7 linked regions of the Macaca mulatta genome follow. The protein of the gene in region 2 interacts with the protein of the main gene of each other region in a pairwise test. Links are inferred from orthologs where the notes say so. Each region holds a gene or a part of one and is shown on either strand. Other genes may lie near its edges.

Region 1 (4,011 bases), on a different chromosome or scaffold from region 2:
ACCATGGTGTGTTTATATAGTCACTGCTAAACATGCAGTATTTCAGTTACAGCACAAAACAGATTACATCCGGTGCCATGTGTCCAGGCTTTTTTTTTTTGTCTTTAAGGAAAGGTACAGTTCAAATTTAAAAAACAGAGAATAAAGAGATAAATAATAATTGGGCTGGACATGGTGGTTCACGCCTGTAATTCCAACACTTTGGGAGGCTGAGGCAGGTGGATCACCTGAACTCAGGGGCTTCAAGACCAGCCTGTCCGACACAGTGAAACCCCATCTCTACCAAAAAGTACAAATATTAGCCAGGCATGGTGGTGGGCGCCTGTTGTCCCAGCTACTCAAAGGCTGAGGCAGAAGAATCGCTTGAACCCGGGAGGTGGAGGTTGCAGTGAGCGAAGATCGCGCCACTGCACTCCAGCCTGGGCCAAAAAAAAAAAAAAAAAACAGGAAAGAAAGAAAGAAACAATTGGTATGCAATCCTTGTGTAAGTTGGAAGTTGGGGACATTTTGGACTGAGAAAGAGAATGAGGGAAGAGAAGAAAGAAATCTTTTCACAGACGCACACGCTCAAGTTCTCCCAGCAGGGCTTGTTCTCTGCCGCCTTTGGGGTAGCGGTGGGGGGCACAAGGCTAGATGTGACCAAGAAGAGGGGGTGCAGACCTTCAACTTCCCCTTAACAAAGTAAAACAAACCGTCCTGGGATTCCTTTCCAGGTGATAGCAAGTTCCAAACTATTGCTCCCCTCCTCTGTGACCAAGTGACAAACAGCGTTTCATTTATGTTGACGGGAACAGCAAAATCAGCCTGGTACTGGAGAATTGTTTTTCCATTAGTGGTTCTACATAACGAAACCCGCCAAGTGAACAAAGTACCAAGTGTGGGACTGAACTGATAGGGGCAGTTTTGTCAACTTAAAAATTCTCTTGGGGAAGAAGCTACAACATTTGGGACTGAGGCCATTTGGAGATGATCAGAGCAATACTTACATCTGTGAGGCGGCTGCCCCTGGGGAGAGAAAAGATACTTTAATTTTGTTAAAGTTGAATAAAAAACACTGAAGACAAAAATTCCAAAAATTACCAATGACTCCCTACAAACCTTAAGATTCTAGCATTTTAATGGCGTGGCAAAAAATATAACCGGCAAAGGTGTAAACAATTGTTTTACTTGATTTTCAACTACACTGTATGACGTTGGGGTGGTACCTTTTAGATAAGGAGCAGCAGAGCCATTTGTAAGACACGAAAAGATGAACTGTTCCTCATGGTCCCTGAATAGCAGAAGGTTAATATCTCTCACTGACAGACATCAACAAGGGCGTCTTTATAAGAGGCCAAGTTCAAAGGGTGAACAGGCGACTTATGAAGCAAACTTTAAAAGCCTGAAATCGGGTTGTTGTTTCTTCCAGCTTAGTGAGAGTACTGACCACCCCGTGCAAAACAAAGAAATGCATTATTGAAAGCAAATGACACAGGGGAATTGTAGCCAAAACACCAAATGTGCCAGGGCAGACAGAAAAGCTTTTTTTTTTTTTTTTTTGAGACGGAGTCTTGCTCTGTCGCCCAGGCTGGAGTGCAGTGGCCGGATCTCAGCTCACTGCAAGCTCTGCCTCCCGGGTTTACGCCATTCTCCTGCCTCGGCCTCCCGAGTAGCTGGGACTACAGGCGCCCGCCACCTCGCTCGGCTAGTTTTTTTTTTGTATTTTTTAGTAGAGACGGGGTTTCACCGTGTTCGCCAGGATGGTCTCGATCTCCTGACCTCGTGATCCGCCCGCCTCGGCCTCCCAAAGTGCTGGGATTACAGGCTTGAGCCACCGCGCCCGGCCCAGAAAAGCTTTTTAATTAACAGAGAAGAGCTCGCTCTGGGCAGTATGGGGATACCCCTGGGAGGAAGCGCCTGCTCTCCCTGACCCCCACGCCCCGCCTGCAGGGTGCGGCCAGTTGACAGGGCGCAGCGACTCCGCTGAGTCCCCAGGGAGCCCTGGAGATCGTGCGGGCCTCAACTCCAGGCTGCCTCCTCTGGAAGCTCCTGGTCCTCCTTGGCCTGGTGAGCCTCAGTATTACCCGCTTTTGCGCCTTCATGGGTCCCACCGCACCCACGTCCCTTCCTATCACCTGCCAGGCATACCCTTGGCACGGCCGCCCCCAGTACTGATTACCAACGTGTTTCCTGACTCAGTCCTCGAGAACTCAGTTCTCTCTCCTATTCGACTTGGTCCCAGTGACTGCTGGCAACCCCAGACATCAGATCTGGCCCACAGGGCAGCCGGGGCAAAGGCGGGCCGGGAAATGGGGGGGCCCCGGCGACCCCGACCCCTGGTCTCCTCTCCTCCCTGACCCCTGACTCCTTTGACGCCCTCGCCCCTGCACCTGACCCCGTTCCACTTCCGCACCTGCCCCCGTTCCACCCCCGCCCCCGCCCCCTCCCCGGCTCCGCCCTCACCCCAGTCCCCGCCCTGGCCCCGCCCCCGCTCCTCCCCCGACCCCGGGGCGGCCGCGGCCAGGCCCCGCCTCACCAGCAGTTGAGCTTGCGCACGCTGTGCAGCTCCGAGGCCTTGGCCCGGGTCAGGACCATCTTCCGCGTCAGCTTCATGGCGACCGCCCAGGCCCGGCCGGCGGGCGCCCCCGGCCTCCTGCTCCCGGGCGGGTGACGACTGCGCGGCGCGTGTCTCCAGGGGCGGGGCCCACGTCGTCAGGGGCGGATCCTGAGCCCATTGGCGGCTTGGCGAGGAGAGCGGGGCGAGGAGAGCGCCCTGGGGCCGCTTGGGCGCCGCTGACACGTCGGCTCTGCTCCTGCGCATGGGCGGCCTGGGGCGCCCGGCTCTGACGCGATTCTAACGCGACCCCGGAAGCGCGCGGCGAGCCGTGGGTGGGTGCAGGTGGCGGTCCCGGAGGCGGCCCCGTGAGGGCTGAGCTGCCGCTCCCTGGAACCGAGCGGGGTGGGCTCGGTCCCACGCGTACCATGGCCGAGTGCGTAGGCCTGTCTCTGAGCGCGGGCCTAGCGTGGATGGGATGGGCGCTACACAGCTCCAAGTTACGCGATTCAAACTCTTGGAATAAACCCAGGGCAGCCCTGGGGCTGTGTTGATTCCCTGTCTCGCTCCCTCCCAGCTTTTACAGAAAAGACGCATTTATAGGAAAGACGTACGGACAGGTCCAGCAGAGCCCTTACAAGCATTTCAGCCTTTTAGAAATCAGGTAAGACCCCCTAAACATCGTTACATGGGCCACAGTTACATTAAGACGGGCATTCTGAAACCGCCTTTGCCAAAAATTGTATCAGTGAGAGAATGATGGCCCTGAAGGAGATCTGGCCAATCCCCATCTTGCCTTTGTCCTTGAAGCTGCCCTTAATTATTCCTGGATAAGCAAAGCTAATTTTGGGAGACATTTATAGTTTAAATGATAGCAGCCCTTCCTCAAAACTAAACAGCCTTTGTAAAGGTAATGAGACCACGGGAACCGCCTTTGCAAAAATCGTAACTGAAGAAATTATGACAGGGAAAGATCTCCTAACGCACCCCATCTTCCTGCTATCCTCTAAACTGCCTTTGTTCATTCGTGGGTGTAGACCAGACTAGCCTTGGGAAGGAATTTAGTTTATAGATTAAACTCTGAAACAAAATTGATAATAGCCCTTTCCCAAAAAAACCCTTCTTGCCTGGGGACCAGTCTGCCTTTGTAGGACTAACAAATTAAGCTATGAGATGAAAAATTACAGTTTAGGGGCTGGCAACCTCTGGCGGCAATAGTCTGAACCTCCCCAAATTGCTCCTGGGAATAACATCACTGTTGCAAAACTTAAGATCAGTGCTTGAAATGTTTTGTAGACCCTGCATTCGGACATCACTTAGACAGATAATCTGGCTCAACCATTTGTGCGATCCCACCCAGGAACAGAAGTCAGCCAGAACTCATTTCGAACCCTTATGATTTAATCTTCAACCTGACCAATCAGTACTCACCACTTTCTGAGCCCTACCCGCCAAATTATCCTTAAAAACGCTGATCC
Region 2 (4,241 bases):
TGCCTCAGCGTACCAAGTAGCTGGGATTACAGGCGCCCGCCACCACGCCTGGTTAATTTTTATATTTTTAGTAGAGACAGAGTTTCGCCATGTTGGCCAGGCTGGTTTTGAACTCCTGACCTCAGGTGATCTGTCTGCCTCAGTCTCCCAAAGTGCTGGGATTATAGGCATGAGCCACTGCGCCTGGCCAAGAACTCAGAATTTGAACTCTTAAAACTATGCCACAGGTTGGCAACGGTGGCTCACACCTGTAATCCCAACACTTTGGGAGGTCAAGGCAAGAGGATCACTTGAACCCAGGAGTTCAAGGCCAGCCTGGGTGGGCAACAGAGTGAGACCTTGTTTCTACAAATAAAAAAATTAGCTGGGTGTGGTGGTGCATGCCTGTGGTCTCAGCTACACAGAAGGCTGAGGTGGGAGAATTGCCTGAGTCTGTGAGGTCGAGGTGGAGTGAGCCATGATCCCACCACTGCATTCCAGCCTGGGCGACAGAGCGAGACCCTGTCTCAAAAAAGAAAAAAAATTTTCCAAAAAAAAAAAACTATGCTACACTGACTCTTCAAAAAGGTTACAGGGTCAGGCATGGTGGCTCACACCTGTAATCTGAGCACTTTGGGAGGCTGAGGTGGGAGGGTCGCTTCAGCCCAGGTGTTTGAGACCACCCTGGGCAATATAGTGAGACCCCTGTCTCTTTAGAAAAAAACTCCAAAAATCAAATAAACAACAAAAAAAGTTACTGAATAGTATTCACAGTAGGGGTCCATTTTTGTAAATAAATAAAAATATTCATTAAAAAAGGTACAAAAGGTTTTATAAACCAAACTATTGAGTTTTTAATCTATGATTCCTTTTTTACAATATGCAACACTTGTATAGCAAAACCTTTTTGAATCTGCTCATAAAGTTTAATTTTACGCTGGGTGCGCAGTGGCTCACGCCTATAATTCCAGCACTTTGGGAGGATGAGGCCAGCAGATCACCTGAGGTTGGGAGTTTGAGACAAGCTTGGCCAACATGATGAAACCTGTCTCTACTAAAAATAGAAAACATTAGCCAGGCATGGTGGTGCGTGTCTGTAGTCCCAGCTACTCGGGAGGCTGAGGCACAAGAATCGCTTGAACCAGGAAGTGGAGGTTGCAGTGAGTTGAGATCGCACCACTGCACTCCGGCCTGGGTGACAGAGCAAGGCTCTGTCTGAAAAATAAAAAAAGAAAAAGAGGCCGGGCACGGTGGCTCAAGCCTGTAATCCCAGCACTTTAGGAGGCCGAGATGGGCGGATCCCGAGGTCAGGAGATCGAGACCATCCTGGCTAACACGGTGAAACCCCGTCTCTACTAAAAAATACAAAAAACTAGCCAGGCGAGGTGGCGGGTGCCTGTAGTCCCAGCTACTCGGGAGGCTGAGGCAGGAGAATGGCGTAAACCCGGGAGGTGGAGCTTGCAGTGAGCTGAGATCCGGCCACTGCACCCCAGCCTGGGCGACAGAGCAAGACTCCGTCTCAAAAAAAAAAAAAAAAAAAGAAAAAAAGAAAAAGAAATCATTAAAAAAATTTCATCTGTGACCCTACCAAATCACCTTTAAAAACAAAAGCAGAAAAACCAAATTGTTTGTGTAAGAATATATTCTACCCATAAACTACATTCCAATTCCAGGTCACAAGTCAATATTCCATCTTTCAACTCATCAAAAAAAAAAAAAAAAAAAAACAGTTAAGCAAGCTGCAGCAGCACCGCCCTACATACAGTACATCCACGGTCAACGACATCAACTGCTAGAAACTTGCACAAACTCTGTTCCTGGTTAGGAACAAATGTACACTATTGATAAACTTCACCTTTACGATTAACGAGAACTCCTGTGTGCAATTATTTCCCCTCCACTGAGTGGGCGACAGTAAGAGTGCCCATTTCAGAGATTACATTTAGTGTCTGTACTAAAGCAACCGGATGCAAAACAACTTAGTCTGCGGCTACCCACTTGAGAGGGCAAAGGTGGACTGGTAAGGCCAGCCAGCCGGGCGTCTCTAAGGTTTAACGAGACGCGAGCTCGGGCTTGGCGTTTCTCATCCTCATCTTGGGGCTGTAACAACACCCTGGAAGCGTCTGTGGTTAAAAATGCAGAACACCAGGCGTCTCCCAAGGCGCTCCCCCGTCCGCCCGGCATCGGGCCGGCTTCCACATTCACTTGTCAAGGGCACGACCCCTCTTCATAGGCTGGGGAGCGCTGCACCCCGCAAGCGCACCGGGCGCCGGCTCGGCCCCAGGCCCAACAGGTGCGGGTCCGGGTCCGCGCGAGTGCGTGCCCCCACGTACCTTCGAGGGGTGTTGAGGAGCCGCTGCTGCTCGTCCCCCTCCTCCTCATCCTCATCCGTCTCCGAGTCAGGGTGACAGTAGCAGAAGGCCCCGCTGCTCCGCTTGCGCTTGTGGCTGCCCGGACAGTAACAGAAGCCGTGGCCCGCCGCATCGTCTCCAGTGTCCGGCCTCCGGGCCGAGCCCCCCGCCCTGGCACCCTGCGCCTGCTGGGCAAGGGCTCGTCTAGGCTGGCGCAGCACCCGGCTGCTCAACGATCCCATGGGTCACGGCTCCCCGAGACTTCAGGGAGCCCAGAGAAGGGGGTCTCCCGCCATGGCCCGGCCGCCGCCGCCAGCCTTCCCCGAGCGCAGATGCCTACACCGCCACCTTCTCACGCGCAGCCCCAACCGTTGCAGCGGACGCTACAGCCTCCATCCTCCGCCCCGCCCGCAGCTTCTGGTCGCTCCGCGCGCTAGCACCGCAGAACCTCGCCCCCTCGCTTTCGTAACAAAGCGCGCGCCGGCGGGCGCATGCGTGTGGCGAGCCTCCGGAAGGGGCGGGGCAAGGCAGGCGTGCGTGCGTGGCAGGTGGAGCCTGCGCACAACGCGGCGTGCTCGTACGGGCGGGTGTTTTCGGGCTTGCGGTGGGGCTGGCTTCCAACTAACGTGAACTTAGGCGTAGACGCAGTGTTAAGCCGTAGTTCACACACGCCTTTGTAGTGGCAAGACTTGGAACTTCAGTCGCGCATTCTTTCTACAAAGGTGCCTTGAGCCCCCGGTGCTTATGGGCCTGTGCTAAGCAAGTGGCAAAACCCCGAAGCTATTTGGTCTCCTTGCGGGAGCTCGGCGCTTGCTGGGGCCGCGCTCTGCTTTGTTGGGCGTGGCCTCCTGTGAGAGGGGCCCTAGGATGAGGCGCTATGCTGGATTCCTGGGCTTCCTTAACTGGAGCCCTACCCTGCTGTAGACGTGAAAGGAACCCGTTAAGTTATGGGAACGTTCCCGGCACTCCTTTTCTTTCCTATCAAGTGCCAGTGGGATGTCCGAATAGGGTCTGGCACCATGACTGTCCGTACTCAAAAAAGTGCCTTCAGGAGGCCCTAGCAAAATTGACAAGTGTCTGCCTGGAGGAGCTGCTCTTGTGATGGACTCCGGACAGCGAGCGTTCACTCCCTGACTCCCTTCTGTTACTTTTTAAGTAAAATAATAAAAATATTTCTCCTGTGGACCCACCACTAGCTTGAAATTTTATCATACTTGGTTTCATTCTTTTTTTCCTCTCCGCTTTATTGAGGTGTAATCAATGATTCATTCTTTTTAAATAGAACAATACAGATAGGCAGAAGCCCCTGTGTACCTCCTCCATCTCATTCTGTCTCCCTCCCCAGTGGCAATCACTGTGCTGAGAATGTTGTATATTATTATGTCCATGTATGTCCTTATATGCGTACCCATATTTTCTTTTGCATGTTTAGACATATCATGGAACGGAATCATAGCTGTACCTCTCACTGTGCACCTTTCTCCTCTCAAAATTATACTCTCGAGATTTGTCCATTTGGTCAATTGCTAGATAATTTTCACTGCTCATTGAATGACTGAACCATATTTGTTTTTACATTCCTTAGTAAGAGGTTATTTCTTTTTTTTTTTTTTTTTGAGACGGAGTCTCGCTCTGTCGCCCAGGCTGGAGTGCAGTGGCGCGATCTCGGCTCACTGCAAGCTCCGCCTCCCGGGTTCACGCCATTCTCCTGCCTCAGCCTCCCGAGTAGCTGGGACTACAGGCGCCCACAACCGCGCCCGGCTAATTTTTTGTATTTTTAGTAGAGACGGGGTTTCACCGTGGTCTCGATCTCCTGACCTTGTGATCCGCCCGCCTCGGCCTCCCAAAGCGCTGGGATTACAGGCGTGAGCCACCGCGCCCGGCCGTGAGAGGTTATTTCTACTTTAACGG
Region 3 (4,282 bases), on a different chromosome or scaffold from region 2:
GAGGCAGGAGAATGGCATAAACCCGGGAGGCGGAGCTTGCAGTGAGCTGAGATCCGGCCACTGCACTCCAGCCTGGGCGACAGAGCGAGACTCCGTCTCAAAAAAAAAAAAAAAAAGGCACAAGGAATTCTCTGCTGCTATTCCCCTCTTAACTAGCAACCCTCTAGAACTAAAGCGCTTCCTTAAACAGCCAACCTTAGGCTGTTCCTACAGAAGCGATTAACTTTTTGTGCCTTGACAGTCTGATACAGCCTACGAGCCGAATGATTTCATAAATACATAAAACACACAGTAGTACAAAGGCAACCGACTGTATCGAAACACCAAAACATTTTAAATGTCACGTTCTATGACATTACAGGACAAAGACTTGGCTAGTCATCCAGCAACTACCCTAATTTTGAAGAAACGAGAATGATTGATAACTGAAAACATCTTCCACAACTGTAATGCTGAGATCTGAAAATACTAATGCGGCGTTTTTTTTCGGGGTTTGGGGGGAGGAATTACACTGTTAACTGAAAACTAAACTTGGGTACACAGAAAAAACACATCTTCCTCATTCAATTTCACGGACCCTCTGAATGCACTAAGAATATCTGCTCTAAAACGTCTAGTAAAATAATGAATCCATAGGAGGTAGAGTCACAGATTCTCAAGGTGGGAGAAGGGTATTAAAAGTCACACGGCTGAGCGCGATAGCTCACGCCCGTAATCCTCCCACTTTGGGAGGCCAAGGCGGGTGGATCGCTTGAGCCCAAGACTTCAAGACCAGCCTGGGCATCATGAAACTCCGTCCCTACCAAAAATACAAAAAAAAAAAAAAAAAAAAAAAAAAACCCACAAAGAAAGAAAAAACCCCTAAAAACAAAACAGAACAAAACTCAGCCGGGCATGACGGCGCGCGTCAGTGATCCGAGCTACTTGGGAGGCTCGCTTTAGCCCGGGGGGCAGAGGTGAGCCGAGTACCATAACTGCCCTCCAGCCTAGGTGACAGAGTGAGACATTGTCTCAAAAATATAAACAGGCCGGGCGCGGTGGCTCAAGCCTGTAATCCCAGCACTTTGGGAGGCCGAGACGGGTGGATCACGAGGTCAGGAGATCGAGACCATCCTGGCTAACATGGTGAAACCCCGTCTCTACTAAAAATACAAAAAACTAGCCGGGCGAGGTGGCGGGCGCCTGTAGTCCCAGCTACTTGGGAGGCTGAGGCAGGAGAATGGCGTAAACCCGGGAGGCGGAGCTTGCAGTGAGCTGAGATCTGGCCACTGCACTCCAGCCAGGGCGACAGAGCGAGACTCCGTCTCAAAAAAAAAAAAAAAAAAAAAAAAAAAAATATATATATATATATATATATAAAAAAACAAAAAAGTCACTCGTTAACAAAATACCCCTAAAACTCCCTTAAATATCCCATAAGATACGCAGTACTACGGTTTAAGATTTATGTCTCTAAAAGGAATTTTAATGCAAGTCTAAAAATCCCTAGAACAAAAATAGTACGCATGGAAACACCGTATTTACGGTAACTAGCATAAATTTCCATAGCAATGAAAACGAATATTAGAGTGTTCCTCCTTTTACAGGATTTTACTTCCTTTTTAGCTATTAGACCTCCACCTTATTATACATAAATTGAAGCGTTGTGAAAATTTAAAGAGCTGCCTTCCACTGGCAGTCTAACCCTAGCCAAACCTCATGCCAATCGAAAACCAATTAATAAAAATAAACTCAACTTTCAAGTCACTGTTAAACACTGCAACTAATCAAACAATTACTGCATTTAAAAAATGACGTCGAGACAATGGGACTTACAAAGGCAAACGGCGTTAACACTGCATTCAGATCATTTTTATTTACTTTTTACGAGCAACTGCAAAGCGAGAGCGCACTAACGTTACCATAGGATCTTGGCACTGCGCCTAAGAGCAGAATGAGGCCTCCAGGCAACACAAAGCGGAGGAAAACGCTCATCCCACTGATCCTTTTTTTTTTTTTCTGTCCCCACCCACCACTCTGAGGTAAGCGAAGGGTCCCGGCAACCTTGCGGTCTTCGTGGAAGGGGGCGCTGCATCTGCCCTGAAGCTGCGCCTGCATACGGGGCAGAGACGCCAGCGGCCATGATGAAGCCGCCATGTTGCAACGGCCATTTTACAACGCAGTTCTCCCGCCCCGTGGCGCCAAACCCACCCCCATCTGCAGCTCCGAGTCTCCACCGAACGCGACCACCCCGGGGCTCCAGGGAGCACCTAACCGCCGGTCGTGGCTGCCCAAGCGGCCGGGCGCGCTGCAGGACAGCCAGAAACCACCGCCGCCCCTCCCCCCGCCGCCACATCACTTCCCCTAACCGCCGCCATGGCGCCTTGGTCGCCTCCCTACAATAGGCTGCTCTCTCCGCGCCCTCTTCCTCAGAACAATAACAAACACTTGACGAGGGTGTGCCACGCGCCAAACGCTCCCTCTCCCACTCTAACGCCTGCGTAGCACTCTCGCTTCACAAAGCGCTCACAATGACGCATCGGAATTGCCATCCGCAATGCGCTTTCCCCGCACAAAGCACTATCCGCCGCCTTCTCAGGGTGCACCCCGAGCCACCCCCGGCCCTCAAACCTCAACCACCTCGAGCCCGCCTCCATCTCCTGCGCCGTTAGGTGCCTTTTTCCCAAAGGCGCACACTCACCCTCCTGGAATTTAGGCTTCGGGTCCTGCTTCGGCGCCATTTATAAGTGATTCGCCGCCTCCTCCTTCTCCCACCACCCCCGACTACCGCCCCCTACTCTCTACCCCACCCAACTCCGCGTCAGACGCGCCGTCAGGCACTGCCAGCTCTACATCCTGGGCCGGATTTGCCAGCGCCCGCAGACCTCACAGCAGCGCGACCCGCGCAGCCGCTGCTCCAGCCAATGACAACCCGCCGCGCCCGCGCCCCTGCGCCCGCGCCGCCCCGGGGCACGCCGGGACTGGTAGTTTCTAGTTGGTGGAGGCGCAGCTGGGTGGGGGAGGGGCCGGCTACCCTACCCCACTCCTCCCCACCCCCCCGCCACTCCCCATCCCCCGGGCTGCTGCGGGTTGGTAAAGCGGGGAATTGATTACGTGGGAGGTTAAAGCAGAGCGGGCAATGGGGGAGAGTCGGGGCGGTGAACCACCAGCGATGAAAAAATGGGAAAAACCCAGTTGCGACGTCCTTTGGGCAAATAAGCCCCCATTGATGTTGAAGTAGCCGGAGAGAATAGGGCTGCCTCGAAAACCTATATTCAATAGCATTCCGCTAGTTTTTGCATAGAAAAGCTTTAGGATCAGCAATGTGGCCACAAGAGGATGGGAAGTGGGGTCCGCTTCTGGAAGCTTCGTTGTTTAGCAAGCCCACTGCCTAGTCTATTTGGTGGGATTGATAGCCATTTGTTGGCTCCCAGGTCTACCTCCTCTTCTCCAGTCCCGGCCTTGCGGAAATGAGGAAGATGACGTGGGAAACACTAGTCAGGCTTTGGCTTTTTGAGATAATGGAGCTCTGCTATCCGCAAAAGGCTAGTGTGAATATGCCAACCTCTGCATTCCGTACCTGCCCTGTTTGTACTTTTTTGTCATCTAATTTTTTGAGCCATGATTGAATGTACACACACTAAACAAACGGATTTCTTCAATATTATATATTTTTCTTTTCTTTTCTTTCTTTTTTTTTTTTTTTTTTTTTTGGAGATGGAGTCTCGCTCTGTCGCCCAGGCTGGAGTGCAGTGGCCTGATCTCGGCTCACTGCAGCCTTCACCTCCCAGGTTCAAGCGATTCTCCTGCCTCAGCCTCCGGAGTAGCTGGGATTACAGGCACGTGCCACCACGCCCAGCTAATTTTTGTATTTTTAGTAGATACCGGGTTTCACCATGTTGTCAGGCTGATCTGGAACTCCTGACGTCGTGATCCGCCCGGCTTGGCCTCGGAAAGTGCTGGGATTACAGGAGCAAGCCACCGTGCCCAGCCTGCCTCCATGGCTTTTCTAAGCCCTCCCCTGCCCGGGTTCCACACCCTACCATTTCCGGGCCCCTCTCCATTTTTCTGACTTCCATTTCTCCTTCAGTCTTTTTAACACAACCCCTTCTTCGACAACAGAAACCCACAAAAATCTTCGTTATTCCAGTTGAATATACACCATCTTGTCACGGCTGCTACTTGCAAGCTTGTCCAACCTGCCTTATTTTCCTGTTGTTTTGTTTTGTTTTGTTTAGGCTTTTAGCACCCTGAAGCCATGGTTTTTAGTTTCAGTCTCTAGTAATAAGTAGAAAAGAGGGAT
Region 4 (3,500 bases), on a different chromosome or scaffold from region 2:
AAAAAATGGAAGCAAGAAGTGGAGCAATGTCTTTCTTTCTTTTTTTTTTTTTTGAGACAAGGTCTTGCTCTGTCACCCAGGCTGGAGTGCAGTGGTGTGGTAACAACTCACTGCAGCCTCAACCTCTTGGGCTCAGGTGATCCTCCCACCTCAGCCTCCCAAGTAGCTGGGACTACAAGCATGCACCACCACACCAGGATAATTTTTTGTATTTTTAGTAGACACAAGGTTTCACCATGTTGCCTAGGCTGCTCCCAAACTCCTAGCCTCAAGTGATCCTCCTGCTTTGGCCTCCCAAAGTGAAGGGATTACAGGCGTGAGTCACCGCACCTGGCCTAAACCTCTTTTCTGTATAAATTACCCAGTCTCAGGTATTTCTTTATAGCAGCACAAGAATGGCCTAATACTAAGACCAACCCCCTGGCGAGACGTGGGTAGCTCATGCCTGTCGTCCCAGCACTGGGAGGCAGAGGCGGGAAGATTGCTTGAGCTCAGGAGTTTGAGACCAGTCTGGACAACATGGCTAAACCCCATCTCTACAAAAAATACAAAAATAAATTAGATGGGTGTGGTGGCACACTCCTGTAGTCCCAGCTACCTGGGAGGCTGAGATGGGAGGACTGCTTGAGCCTGGGAAGTTGAGGCTGCATTAAGCTGTGACTGTACCATTGCACTCCAGCCTGGGAGACAGAGTGAGACCCTGTCTCAAAAAAAAAAAAAAGACCAACCCCATCTCTTCCTCCTTCTCCTCAGCCCACTCAAAGTGAGGATGACAGTGAAGACCTTTATGATGACCCATTTCTACTTAATAAATAGTAAATATATTTCCTTTGTCTTGTGATTTTTTTTAATATAAAAGGTACTCAGTCAATATTGAATAAATGAAGATGTTTTATGGGTGAGTCTAAAAGGCACCTGTCATACATTATATCGTTTCTATAGGGCAAAAACATCCTTAACATACACTATTAATCCATTTGCAACCTAGCTATTGCTTCATACGGAACTCCAGCTGATTATACTGTAACTGGATGAAATCTTCACGTTTCCATTTGTGAATATTGATTGTTTTCAGTGAGCAGCATGAAGAATATCATGAATTTCTAAAAATTTAGGTAATCTTTCCAATACACCAGTAAGATTTATTTATTTTTTAATTTAAAAAAATTGGCCGGGCGCGGTGGCTCAAGCCTGTAATCCCAGCACTTTGGGAGGCCAAGACGGGCGGATCACGAGGTCAGGAGATCGAGACCATCCTGGCTAACACGGTGAAACCCCGTCTCTACTAAAAAATACAGAACAACTAGCTGGGCGAGGTGGCGGGCGCCTGTGGTCCCAGCTACTCCGGAGGCTGAGGCAGGAGAATGGTGTAAACCCGGGAGGCGGAGCTTGCAGTGAGCTGAGATCCGGCCACTGCACTCCAGCCTGGGCGACAGAGTGAGACTCCGTCTCAAAAAAAAAAAAAAAAAAAAAAATTAAAAAAAATTAAAAAAAATTTTTTAGAGACAGCGTTGCTCTGTCGCCCAGGCTGGAGTAGTGGTGTGATCTCGGCTCACTGCAACCTCCACCTCCTGGCTCAAGCAATTCTCCTGCCTCAGTCTCCCAAGTAGCTAAGACTACAAGCACATGCCACCATGCCCTAAATTTTTGTATTTTTTAGAAGAGGCAGGGTTTCGCTATTTTGGCCAGGCTGGTCTCAAACTCCTGGCCTCAAGTTAGATCCCTCTGCCTCAGCCTCCCAAAGTGCTGGGATTACAGGCGTGGACCACCACACCCGGACTACACCAGTAAGAGTTTGGCAGAAGTTAGCCTTACTGTCATAAAATGTATGCACTCTAGGACTCCATTCCCTTCATAACATACCTTAGGTGCACCATACATAAAAAGAGAATCTGATTCTTAGTTTATTTTAAAAATAAAATAACAAACAAACGTCCCTTAGAATAAAATAAAGCCCCATATCTTACCTGCAGTGTCTTATCCAATTTGGCAGCTAGCTTTCCAATTTCATACAATAGCTGGGGGCTGATGGGAATCTCAGCTATGGGTCTTCCTGGGAGGTAAGTCAGCAGCCTCACCAAGTAGCTTTTGATTTCAGAGCCACTATCTAAATGGATGGAATAAAATATCCTTTGACTATTTTAAATATATACATTGAGAGACAGATAGATATAGATATTTAGATATAATAGAATTAGAAGCTATTATGCCTTTGCAAGTATTATTGAAAAGAACAGAAATTACAGAACAACAACAAAAATGTGCTAATCTAAAACAGCTCGGCAGGATTCTATGAGGCAGAGTTGAGTGGATGAAGCAAGAAGGTAGAATACACAAACCTTAAGAACACTGGAACTGGCCATTTACATACCAACAAAATTATAGCCCTAACTCTGCTGGCCTTAGCTCTACACAGAAATTACCTACTGTGGTAAATGAAAGCAACAACACATACCCTTTCATAAGTTCACAGTTGAAGGGAGTGAGGTACCAATAAATGACTTCCAGAATCAGGCTTCCCGCAGGACACCCTCTGTTTGCAACACAGGACAATAACTATGTCTCAGGGAACAATGGGCCTCAGGTATTTGTAGCAATGCAAATTAAGAAAGAATGGTGAACAATTAAGAGAGAAAAAGACAATCAAGATTTCGAACCTTTAAAAAAACTTGAAGAAATTGGTTTTAGCCTGCTGCTTAAAGAGCTGAATTAGGTCCATTGTTGGCATTTTAGTATTTTGAGGTGAAAAGGACTATCTCACAGATGAGGACTGGTGGTCTTAGGGATTTAAGTGGTCTATGTGTCCAAGGTTACATATACAGTAATGACAAAGCTAAAATCTAAAATTCCTGATTCCCAATATTCTTTCTACTATACTGCAGCACCAGAATTTATAGCTTCTCTAAGTAATAAAAATATTTTATTATTTTTCTGGTTAAAAAAAAAAAAAAAAAAAACCGGCCGGGCATGGTGACTCATGCCTGTAATCCCAGCACTTTGGGAAGCCAATGCAGGCAGATCACTTGAGGCCAGGAGTTCAAGACCAGCCTGGGCAACATGGCAAAACCCTGCCTCTACAAAAACACTACAGAATTAGCTGGGCGTGGTGACGCGTGCCTGTAGTCCCAGCTACTCAGCAGGCTAAAGCGGGAGGATCACCTGAGCCCAGGAGGTCAAGGCTGCAGTGAGCTGTGACTGCGCCACTGCACTCCAGTCTGGATGATAGAGTGAGACCATCTCAAAAAACAACAAACAAATAAAAATAAAAACCCAAAACCACCAACAACAAAACAAACAAACAAACAAAACAAAAAATGTTCCCCTGATTTTCACAAGTTCCCTTAGTTACTATCTGTCAGGGCCTTTCTAAACAGAAAACTTATACCACATTGGGCTCTAACCACTACTCAATCAGAGGACCAATCACCACTTTGATGATGCTGTGGCTTCTCCCAACACTGAAAAAATAACCACCTCTAAGGGCGTACTATTGAGGTTGC
Region 5 (3,500 bases), on a different chromosome or scaffold from region 2:
CACATACACACACACACATCTATGATGGCTATATTGTTTTAAAGAATAGGCAAAATTCCTCAGAAATGTTATAACAGATACTTCACAAAGGCTCTGAGTTTTACTTTCAACAATTAATTTTTCCTTAGATCTTTTTCTTCTAAAGTAACAACCTGGCCATATTTAAAGTACAGTACTCAAGCTCAAAAGAAAATTAAAATTCTTAATTTTCTAGAATATTCTGAAATTTTCAAAAGGAGAAAAACTGCTCAAGTAAATCATGGAGTCAGTAAATTAAATCCCATGCTGAGTAAGTACAAAATTCATTGTATATATATGCCAAATTAGATATTTTTTAACAAGTAAACACAAGATGATCAACATCTCATTTCCTGCTTACTTTTAATTTTTACAAAGCGATATTCTAATAACACTTTAAAACAGATTCTTTAAAGGGCACTGAGGTACGGACAGTTAAAATCTATAAAGGCTAAAGGTTTCTTAAGCTCCAATGGCTTGGCTGAAAGGTTTTCTTCCATACTTGGAAACTTGATTAGCATTATATAAAAAAGCCATATCTGACTTGCTGCGTAACCAAAGTTGTGGTTATTCTTTATACAGCATCTAAAATTTCACACTCCATCAACACATGTTCAGCCTATTTTATCTTGGCAATTAATTTATTATTTTTCAGAACACAGTGAAGCCTTGTTTTCAAGTCATTCATAACTTTATAAATCAGTCTTGCACATGAAACCATGCATCTGTGAACCGTAGAAAATCCTTGCACTCAGGAGATTAAGCTCCTGACACCTTTGCTGATTAATAATCATGGAAAGAATAAGATCAGAAGCAAAATAAATGATCATTTAATAGAGAAACTCACAAAACAGCCCTTTAACTTACATATTCCATCATGTTATTCGTTTCACATTTCCTTTTGCTCAGTCTCCAATGCAAGCACAGCTAGACAAGTAGGAGAGTAAAAGAAGAAAAATGAGCTCTATTTTATTGCAGCACACAGACTAACCCATTTGTCCACCTTTCATATTTTTAGTTCAACAAAAGCATCTGTTTCCATACTGTGCAATTCAGACCCCAACAGTACGAAGCTGCTCCCTGTGGTACTCACCTTGTGGTATAACCTATTGTTTTCCCATTCTAATAACTTCTCAATCGATCTTCGTGTCTGGAAGACAAATGAGAAAAAAGTTTACTCTTGACTGGTTTTAGAAAACTTTGTTTTGCAGCTGCTTTTTCTGTGAAAAGGGAAGAGGTGTAAGACAGTGACTGAGTATAGTGTGGTGTGCATCACTATCCATTTTCTAAGCACTAAATGGTAACCTGAACACAAAGAGTTCTCTTTCTTTAAAAAGATATGGCTTTATTTCTATCATATGAATCTTTTTTTACTAGCCTCTGATTTAAAACTATCAAGGTTTAAAAGCTAATGTCATCTGCCAAATAAAATTAAATCCCCACTTTTTTCAAAAATATGTTTCCAATACTTAAATAGTAACAGAAGCTCCTTAATACATATTTTACAACAAAAGTAAATATTAGTTAACAAAATGCAAATGGCCTTTCAGTAAGTTCCAAAACAAAAAATTGGAAGTTAATATTAAATCAATGAATTATAAAATCAAACTAATTTTCACACCATGCTTAAAATAATGCCCATATTTAAAAGACAGCTTACTGATTATTCTACCAATAGATTTTTTTGAAGAGTCAAAATTTTATTTAAACCAACATAAAAGTGCCATCTGATAGTAAAATCAAACTCTTAATTCAATATTACTGTTTCAGGAATCAACTGAGAATTTACTTCAGTTGACTGATGCAAGCAAGATACGCTATGCTGCAAGAAATGTTTCCTGCTTGGGAGTATGGATAAAAGAAGATAATTCATGGTGCCAGGTGTTAGGATGAGACTGACACAGCTGCAGGTGCAAAAATGACAGTGTTGCCACCAGGATCAACTGCAACTTGGTTCAGCTGCACTTTTCTTGCAAAGGAAAGAAAAAAACATCTTACCACTATTAATGTGGTATAAGGAAGTACTAGTAATCAAATATGAAAATGTGCATGTCAAGCAAGGATTAGCTAGGTGCAAAACTGTTAGGATCAAGCTGGGTTTGAACAGTTTAATGTTACATAATAAAATTTTAACATGTATTTAAAATATCTACTTTAAATAGTTACTTTACCTTTTAGCATATTAAACATGCTAAAGACACACCAAAGTCACATAGGTGCCAATTATAATTCATAACTACCAATGAATTACGACTACTGCCTTACGTTTTCCAAGCTTATGTCACAAAACTCAGAAAATCAGCTACTTCTCTGGGTAATCATATGCCAATGACTAATTTATTATTACATTACTTTTTTTTGAAGAGTCTTTTTGGCAAGAATTTTAAAGAAAAAAATGTGCCCTTGTTAACAATGATCAGCAGACCTCACTTGTTTCTTTGTAAAGATAGCCTTTTAGAGGCAGCTCTCCTTTTAAATGAAAATAGGGCAGCAGTTATGGTCACACTTTTTGTTAATTTAGTTGCCAGTCAGCCCCAAATCAAAAGAAAATAAGGCTGCAGAGTGTAATTAACATTCAGTTCGGTCGTTTTGTCCCTTGTCTAGCCCCCAAGCTTTGTTAAAATTGCCATCTGAATGCTGAAGGCTGTAGGGAAATCGATTTGATTCTAATCGCACCATGAAAAGAACATGATCTAACTGCTTTCAGCCCTCCGTAAATCTGTACTAGGTCTTTAGCACAATGCAACTTCCAATTTAAAAAGCACTGAATGTCTCGTCAATGACTTTGTGAAGAAAAAAGAACAAGGAGCAGACATAAAAATTCCAATAGTTGTTTAAGCATTAAAGTTCATTTGCATCACAGCGAACCTGAAAAGGGCTGACCTCTCAAACCGCCTCTCAGGTCTATGAAGTTGTAGCCTTGACAAGCTCACATTGACAGAGCTCATTGACTCTGAAAGGCTACTCTATCAATGGTGAAAAATGGCAATAGGTTCTACTCTGAGCAGGCATCTGCCTGCCCACCCGCTGCTAAACCAATGGCAAAACCGATTCAAAACCTGAATCTACCTTGTAATCTTTCTTTCTAGGGCCTTTTAATAATAGATTAAGATTACTATACAATTTGAGGTTTTACTTTTACTGATGATTTTGGGGGTTGGTGGATGATGAAAGAACTAGAGTGGAACAAGCTTTCCAAGTCCATTGTCTTATATTAATGTATAAAATAGTACCCAGAAGCTTAACACTACATTCTGCAAATACTTATTACTTAAAGAAAAAAATGTAGTTACCACCATCATTTCATCAGAAATTTAAACCCATGCTATAATAAGGATAGATTTCATTATGATATATAGACACATTCATACACACAATTTTAAAACTTAAAAATATTTACTTTAACTTAAATCAACTACTAGTATTTGAATAAAAGATAATTATAAAGTATAAATCTTAAATTCCAAAATATTTATGTAGGA
Region 6 (3,500 bases), on a different chromosome or scaffold from region 2:
TCAGTCATAACTTTGCCTCACAAATAGCCAAACCAGTAAACATCACGTCTACCCCTAATCTGTCCAGTGTAGAAACAGGTCTAAGGTGGCTCTGCAAGTACTGCCTAAGGAGGGCCAGCCTGCCTCCTGAATGGTTAATCTGAGCATAGCTGCTGCTCAAACCAGGACTCCTACCCTCCCATAGGCCCTGCAATTAATACAGAATAAGACTTAAGTTAGGACATCCCCTTAGGATACTGGGGATAGTCTATGGTAATAAAGTTAACAAAATACAAAATAGACGCAACTGGATATAAAGAATAAATATTTGGAAAACCCAGCTGGGCACGGTGGCCTGTAATCCCAGCACTTTGGGAGGCTAAGGCAGGCGGATCACGAGGTCAAGAAATTGAGACCATCCTGGCTAACACGGGGAAACCCTGTCTCCACTAAAAAGTAGAAAAAATTAGGCAGGCATGGTGGTGGACACCTGTAGTCCCAGCTACTCAGGAGGCTGAGGCAGGAGAATGGTGTGAACCCAGAAGGCGGAGCTTGCAGTGAGCTGAGATCGTGCTACTGCACTCTAGCCTGGGTGACAGAGCAAGACTCCGTCTCAAAAAAAAAAAAAAAAAAGAGAGACAGCGTCTGTCATCCAGGCTAGAGTGCAGTGGTACAATCTAGGCTGACTGAAGCCTCGACCTCCTAGGCTCAAGTGATACTCCCACCTCAGTCTCCTGAGTAGTTGGGACTACAGACATGTACCACTATGCCCAATTTTAAAATTTTTTGTAGAGAGAGGGTCTCGTTATGTTGCTCAGGCTGGTCTTGAACTCCTGGGTTCAAGGGATCCTCCTGCCTCAGCCTGCCAGAGTGCTGGGATTACAGGCATGAGCCACCGCACCTGGACTCACTATAATTATTTAAAAGATATAGTGCACTATGGACAAAGCAGAGGGAAGGAGGGACTGACATTCAGACCAGCTATGTGCAAGGCATCATGCACATGCAACATGCAGTCCACAAAATGTAATACAGTGAATAATGACATTGAGAGTTAAAAACTAGTTCTGAAATAATATTTGAGCAGGAACTCCAAGTTACTTACTCTTCACAGTGGGTTTCCTAGGATCATAGGAAACAGTGCTGCTGACCACTGGTGCCAAGTGGGCACTGCTGGTGCTTGGGCCATCATAGGCCGGCTCCTCAGGGCTGGGGTTAAAGCTGTTGCTACTGGCGGAAGCATGGCTGCTTCCCGTGGGGTACGGGGCTGGCTTAATCCTGCAACACAGGACAACACTGGTTAGTCATGAGCACAAGAAATCTGCCCTGAGCATGAAGAGCCTGAAGCTGGCCTGTGTGAGGATGACTTACCCTGTTTGTGGCTTTGACCAGTGGACCCTAGCACCCTGGATTCTGGTGGTGGCTCAGAGGTGTCTGCATTATCCTTTCAGAATAAATGATAATCTCAACTAACTTTTCACTGTTTTGGTATAAATCTGTATTTTGAAAATGCTAATGTGGCTTAGACAAAATAACAGTCATTGCAGAAATGTGTTTTTTGTTTAGATGAGAAAAGGGAAAGCATAAGGGAATGTTTCCCATAAGTCAGGCTTTGCTCTCCATTTAATCTTGACTACCCTAGGGCAGGAGAAATTATCACCTTGCACTGCAGTCCAAGAAGCAGAGGCTGAGGGAGGTGAGGGAAGTGCTGAGCTGATGAGGTCTGCCTCCAGAGTCCACCTTCTGCACTGCCTTGCTTTCACCAAAAGCAATTTGCTTCCTGCCGCTATGGCTACCTCTTAAGGGTTGATAGCACACAAAAGCCAGGTAAGAACACAGTTCTTACTTGATTTTCTCAGGGACAGCTGCTCCTCCAGTTCCAAACTTTTCCTGCCTCCTCCGGACGTCACGAGGTGGCTTGGCCACAGAGTTGACAAAGGCCATCTTTGCTTGTCGGCCTGTAGAATTATGGAGATGAACATCTGCCTTCTTGAGCAGAGACGCTACTGTTATTTAAATAATCCACGGGGTTTTCCACTGCCCTGAAACCCCACTATAGGGTAGCATGGGCTGTGGCAGAAGAAATACCCACCCTGCTACCTGATGTAGGGGCGAGCAGTCCCACACCAGCCAAGCCCACCAAGACCCTGCTATTGACCAGAACACTCATCCTGCCAGTTCTACCCCAGCTCTCCCGTCTCTGTTACCTTTGGGCTTATTGGCATGTGCGAATTGGATGTTCTTTGTTAGTACTCGTAGCCGCTGCTCTCGGGCATCCTGAAGCCGCAGGTACATCTCTCGCCACGACTCATATTCTTCGGGTCTTTCTTCCTTAAAGTCTCGGTGACAGTGAACTTTCCATAATTGATCTGTTTCTTCAATTAATACCTGAAACCAGAACCAGGACATCATTTATGTACAAGCACTTTTATGTACAAGCACTATCTTTTTTTTTTTTTTTTGAGACAGAGCCTTGCTCTGTCGCGTAGACTGGAGTGCAGTGGTGCAGTTTCGGCTCACTGCAACCCCTGCCTCCTGGGTTCAAGCGATTCTTGTGCCTCAGCCTCCCAAGTAGCCAGGACTACAGGTGCTTACCACTATGCCCAGCTAATTTTTTATATTTTTAGTAGAGACGGGGTATCGCCATGTCGGCCAGGCTGGCCTTGAACTCCTGACCTCAAGTGATCCACCCACCTTAGCTTCCCAAAGTGCTGGGATTACAAGCGTGTGTCACCACGCCCGGCCCCATATCTTTTTCTGATTCTTTAATTACCTAGGAGTGACCAGTTTCCTAATAATTTTTTGGTCTTTGTCGTAGTAGTATGTTAAAATACCACAATTCTAGGAAAAAATAACTCACTAAATTTTAAAAATGCTAAGTGTGAGGCACTAGGCTAGCTGCTTTTGGTGGCTGTGACAGGATATCACAAAAATTAGTGTAAGATCAGTCTTTTCCTTTAGAAAATCAGCAAAGGGTAGAACTGTGATCAAGTCCAATCAGGTACTTCCCAACACTACGCTGAACTGTGATGGCAGGGGGCAACCTAAGAAAGATGTTAAGTTATTGGCCAGACGCAGTGGCTCATGCCTGTAATCCCAGCACTTCGGGAGGCCAAGATGGGACATCACTTGAGGCCAAGAGTCTAAGAGTCCATCTCTCCGAAAAATAAAAATATTAGCCAGGTGTGGTGGTATGTGCCTGTAGTCCCAGCTACTTGGGAGGATCACTTAAGCCCAGGAGTTCAAGGATGCAGTGAGCCATGATTAGGCTACTGTACTGCAGAGTCTAAGCAACAGAGGTAGACCCTGTCTCAAAAAAAAAAAAAAAAAAAAAAAAAAAAGATGTTAGGTCAGAGAACTCTCAGAATTAAAGAGAGATAGCTGATGCAATCAAATGTGTATACCTATATCCTAAGGAGGATTTCTGGATAGATCTTGATGTCTCTTAAGAGACATCCAGTCAATCACCAGATGTGTCAACACAAAGTGCTTTACCCACCCTGGGTCCCAGCTGCTCTGCT
Region 7 (3,500 bases), on a different chromosome or scaffold from region 2:
TCCGGCCACTGCACTCCTGCCTGGGTGACTGAGTGAGACTCTGCCTCAAAAAAAAAAAAAAAAGTATTATGGTGGCAGGGCATGGTGGCTCATGCCTGTAAGCCTGCCACTTTGGGAAGCTGGGGTGGGTGGATCACTTGAGGTCAGGAGTTCAAGACCAGCCTGGCCAACATGGTAAACCCCATCTCTACTAAAAATACAAAAAATACAAAAATACAAAAAATTAGTAGAGATGTAATCCCAGCACTTTGGGAGGCTGAGGCGGGTGGGTCACCTGAGGTCAGGAGTTCGAGACCAGTCTGGCCAACATGGTGAAACCCCATCTCTACTAAAAATACAAAAAATTAGGCATGGTGGCAGGCGCCTGTAATCAATCTCAGCTACTCAGGAGGCTGAAGCAGGAGAATTGCTTGAACCCAGAAGACGGAGGTTGCAGTAAGCTGAGATCGCGTCACTGCACTCCAGTCTGGGGGACAGAGCAAGACTTTGTCTCAAAAAAACAAAAGCAAAAAACAAAACAAAACGAAACAAAAAACCAAGTATTTATTGAGTGCACACAAGGTGCCAGGCACTAAGATAACTGTTTTTCTTTCATTCAGTCATTCAACAAATATTTACTGAGCCAGGCTCAGAAGACAGATGGTGAGCAAAATAGATACTGTCAGTACCTTTGAGTCTTCTCAAAGTCAATAAGAAGTGAACAGGTCAAGGAACAAGAAATTAAGCAGCATTGCCTGGTGCTAGAAGAGAAATAGGATGGTGGGATAGGGGGATGAATGGGGGAGAGGCCTACTTTCAACCTAGACTTCAAGGATAAGAATGAGCCAGGGGATCTGGACGCGGTGGCTCATGCCTGTAATCCCAGCACTTTAGGAGGCCGCGGCGGGCGGATCACCCGAGGTCAAGAGTTCGAGACCAGCCTGGCCAACACGGCGAAACCCCATCTCTGCTAAAAATACAAAAATTAGCCGGGTGTGATGGCATGTGCCTGTAATCCCAGCTACTCAGAAGGCTGAGGCAGGAGAATCACTCAAACCTCAGAGGCGGAGGTTGCAGTGAGTCAAGATTGAGTCACTGCACTCTCGCCTGGGCAAAAAGAGCGAAATTCCATCTCAAAAAAAAATAAATAAATAAAAATAAGTAAATAAGGAGCCAGGTGAAAAGTGTTCTAGGCAGAGGGTTCAGCAGAGGCAAAGGCCCAGAGACGAACAACAAGGCCCGTGTGGGCTGGAATAGAGTTAGCAAATAAATGAGCTGGGGAGGCATTGGAGTGGGGTAGAGGACAGGGTCACGCAGGGCCTCAAAACCTCTGGGGAGACATTTGTGATGTGGGTGCCACCCACCCAGTTCCCACTCCCCATCCCATCCCCATGCTCCCCAACCCCAGGGCCATGCACACACCATAAATTTTAAAAGCATAGTAAGCCTTGAGGTCGCGGGGAGCCATTTCACTCATCACAGAAAACATGTCCAAAAAGTTATCCAGGGTCATGTGGCCATCCCCATCCTCGGAGAAGACCTGGGCAATCCTCTGGCGGAACGGGTTGTCCTGGGGAGAGAAAGGAAGCTGGGAGGCCACCCTCCGACCCCCAGGATCTCTGGGGGTCCATGTGGTCTCACTCTGAGCACCCACTTTCTGGGAGGCTCCAAGTATTCTCCATCGAGACCCACTCCCTTCCATGGTCCCTGGACAGGACTTTGGACAACTCCACCCTCTGCCCCTGTGGTCAGAGCAACCTTGACCCCACTTCCAGCTCTTGGAGCAGCCATGTGACCCAGGCAAGGCCAATCAGAGAGTTCCATTCACCTGGCAACAGTGATTGGCTCTGGGATGGGCATGTGACTCAAGCTAGCCAATCAGAGACTGCCCTGGGACATTTTTCTAAAAAATTGGGAGGGAGAGGACCTCATTACTGCTGCTTGCAAAGCTCACAGAAGCTAAAGCTGAGTGGCTGAGAGGTCCTTTCACAACCTCAAGAGGAGAGGCTGCCTTAGACTGAAACCTCTTCCTGGAAGGAGCTGAGAGATGGGGGGAGATTCCTGAGCACATCATCAGAGGCCCTGGTTCCAGCCATACCTGTCATACCTGTCAGGTATGACAGTCCAGCCATACCTGACACTGTCCCTGCCTCTGGATTTTTTTGTTGTTGTTCAGGGGCAATCCATTCTGATCCAATCCATTCTGTCCCTCTCAAATAAGGTTTTTGTCACTTGCAATAAAATCAGCCCTACTCACAGTCAGTTACTCAACCCACAAGTTCCCCTTGGATGCACAAACCATGTGTCAAACATCCTGCTGAAAAAAATCTGCATTTAGCAGCTCCTATTACAAGAAGAACTAACGTTCTCTGAGTACTTAACACAAAACACACCCTGTACTGAGTTTGTTACCTGTATTATCTCATTTCATTCTCCCAATTATGAGTTTTTTGAGACAGAGTCTCACTCTGTCGCCCAGGCTGGAGTACTGTGGCTAGATCTCTGCTCACTACAACCTCCACCTCCTGAGTTCAAGCAATTCTCCTGCCTCAGTCTCTCTAGTAGCTGAGATTACAGGCATGTGCTACCACGTCCAGCTAATTTTTGTATTTTTAGTAGAGACAGGGTTTCACCATGTTGGCCAGGCTGGTCTCGAACTCCTGACCTCAGGTGATCCACTCGCCTCGGCTTCCCAAAGTGCTGGGATTACAGGCTTGAGCCACCACGCCAGCCAACTCTGAGTTTTAACCCTGTCTCTGTGACATTGTAGCTGTGTGACCATGAACAAGTGTCTTAACTTCCTGAGGCTCAGTTTTCTTATCTGTAAAATGGGGATAACTGCAGCACCGACCTCAGAGGAATGCAACGAGAGACATCTCTACTATTTTTTCCCCTGTCTGTCCCATGGCCTGGGTGTACCTTCAGCTCGGGCATGCTGCCAATGAGCTCGTAGGGCACCTTCACGTCGGGGCAGGTGGTATAGTCGAGGGGCACGAGCTGCGGGGCCAGGTCCTGGTAGCGATAGAAGAGCCTGATGTGGGGAGGAAAAAGCTGGGAAAGGCTGGGAGCAGGGAGCAGGCAAGAGGCTTGTCCCTTCTTTGTTTTTTGAGACGGAGTCTCGGTCTGTCGCCCAGGCTGGAGTGCAGTGGCACAATCTCAGCTCACTGTAACCTCTGCCTCCCAGGTTCAAGCAATTCTCCTGCCTCAGCCTCCTGAGTAGCTGGGATTGCAGGCACACCCCGCCACGCCCAGCTAATTTTTTTGTATTTTTAGTAGAAACAATGTTTCACCATGTTAGTCAGGCTGGTCTCAAACTCCTGACCTCAGATGATCCACCTGCCTCGGCCTCCCAAAGTGCTGGGGTTACAGGCGTGAGCTACCGCGCCCGGCCAAGTCCCTTCTCTTTCACATTCACAGCTGCTCACTGCACACCGAGGGATACTGTGTCCCCAAGAACCTTCAGCCCTGGGCCTGGACCTCAAGCATACAGAGCCCGACACAGGCACCCCTACCTCCCTGGG

Evidence for each region.
Region 1: the proteins of GMCL1 (region 2) and CFAP410 interact in binary tests that used the Homo sapiens proteins (3 or more experiments, as listed by UniProt). The two-hybrid records come from large-scale screens. The link is inferred for Macaca mulatta from reciprocal best matches to the Homo sapiens genes GMCL1 and CFAP410.
Region 3: the proteins of GMCL1 (region 2) and MORF4L1 interact in binary tests that used the Homo sapiens proteins (3 or more experiments, as listed by UniProt). The two-hybrid records come from large-scale screens. The link is inferred for Macaca mulatta from reciprocal best matches to the Homo sapiens genes GMCL1 and MORF4L1.
Region 4: the proteins of GMCL1 (region 2) and HYKK interact in a two-hybrid assay, tested with the Homo sapiens proteins (2 studies listed by BioGRID). The two-hybrid records come from large-scale screens. The link is inferred for Macaca mulatta from reciprocal best matches to the Homo sapiens genes GMCL1 and HYKK.
Region 5: the proteins of GMCL1 (region 2) and CHIC2 interact in binary tests that used the Homo sapiens proteins (3 or more experiments, as listed by UniProt). The two-hybrid records come from large-scale screens. The link is inferred for Macaca mulatta from reciprocal best matches to the Homo sapiens genes GMCL1 and CHIC2.
Region 6: the proteins of GMCL1 (region 2) and ELOA interact in binary tests that used the Homo sapiens proteins (3 or more experiments, as listed by UniProt). The two-hybrid records come from large-scale screens. The link is inferred for Macaca mulatta from reciprocal best matches to the Homo sapiens genes GMCL1 and ELOA.
Region 7: the proteins of GMCL1 (region 2) and CIB3 interact in binary tests that used the Homo sapiens proteins (3 or more experiments, as listed by UniProt). The two-hybrid records come from large-scale screens. The link is inferred for Macaca mulatta from reciprocal best matches to the Homo sapiens genes GMCL1 and CIB3.

Annotation. Positions count from the first base shown.
Region 1 is NC_133408.1:3,194,787-3,198,797, reverse strand, and holds the start of CFAP410 (cilia- and flagella-associated protein 410), read right to left. Parts: upstream 2,801-4,011; coding exon 2,501-2,800; intron 1,006-2,500; coding exon of another isoform or gene 987-1,005; intron 1-986. UniProt on the Homo sapiens protein: Plays a role in cilia formation and/or maintenance. Plays a role in the regulation of cell morphology and cytoskeletal organization. Involved in DNA damage repair.
Region 2 is NC_133418.1:54,922,780-54,927,020, forward strand, and holds the start of GMCL1 (germ cell-less protein-like 1), read right to left. Parts: upstream 2,801-4,241; 5' UTR 2,573-2,800; coding exon 2,313-2,572; intron 1-2,312. UniProt on the Homo sapiens protein: Possible function in spermatogenesis. Enhances the degradation of MDM2 and increases the amount of p53 probably by modulating the nucleocytoplasmic transport.
Region 3 is NC_133412.1:57,080,616-57,084,897, reverse strand, and holds the start of MORF4L1 (mortality factor 4-like protein 1), read right to left. Parts: upstream 2,801-4,282; 5' UTR 2,721-2,800; coding exon 2,681-2,720; exon of another isoform or gene 2,611-2,680; intron 2,529-2,610; exon of another isoform or gene 2,336-2,528; coding exon of another isoform or gene 2,044-2,335; intron 1-2,043. UniProt on the Homo sapiens protein: Component of the NuA4 histone acetyltransferase (HAT) complex which is involved in transcriptional activation of select genes principally by acetylation of nucleosomal histones H4 and H2A.
Region 4 is NC_133412.1:56,662,004-56,665,503, reverse strand, and holds part of HYKK (hydroxylysine kinase), read right to left. Parts: intron 2,108-3,500; coding exon 1,968-2,107; intron 1-1,967.
Region 5 is NC_133410.1:79,479,718-79,483,217, reverse strand, and holds part of CHIC2 (cysteine-rich hydrophobic domain-containing protein 2), read right to left. Parts: intron 1,169-3,500; coding exon 1,112-1,168; intron 946-1,111; coding exon 886-945; intron 1-885.
Region 6 is NC_133406.1:217,242,399-217,245,898, forward strand, and holds part of ELOA (elongin-A), read right to left. Parts: intron 3,323-3,500; exon of another isoform or gene 3,191-3,322; intron 2,368-3,190; coding exon 2,187-2,367; intron 1,938-2,186; coding exon 1,826-1,937; intron 1,258-1,825; coding exon 1,085-1,257; exon of another isoform or gene 1,001-1,084; intron 1-1,000. UniProt on the Homo sapiens protein: SIII, also known as elongin, is a general transcription elongation factor that increases the RNA polymerase II transcription elongation past template-encoded arresting sites.
Region 7 is NC_133424.1:16,646,021-16,649,520, forward strand, and holds part of CIB3 (calcium and integrin-binding family member 3), read right to left. Parts: intron 3,011-3,500; coding exon 2,899-3,010; intron 1,550-2,898; coding exon 1,402-1,549; intron 1-1,401. UniProt on the Homo sapiens protein: Acts a an auxiliary subunit of the sensory mechanoelectrical transduction (MET) channel in hair cells. Plays a role in regulating hair cell MET channel localization and function.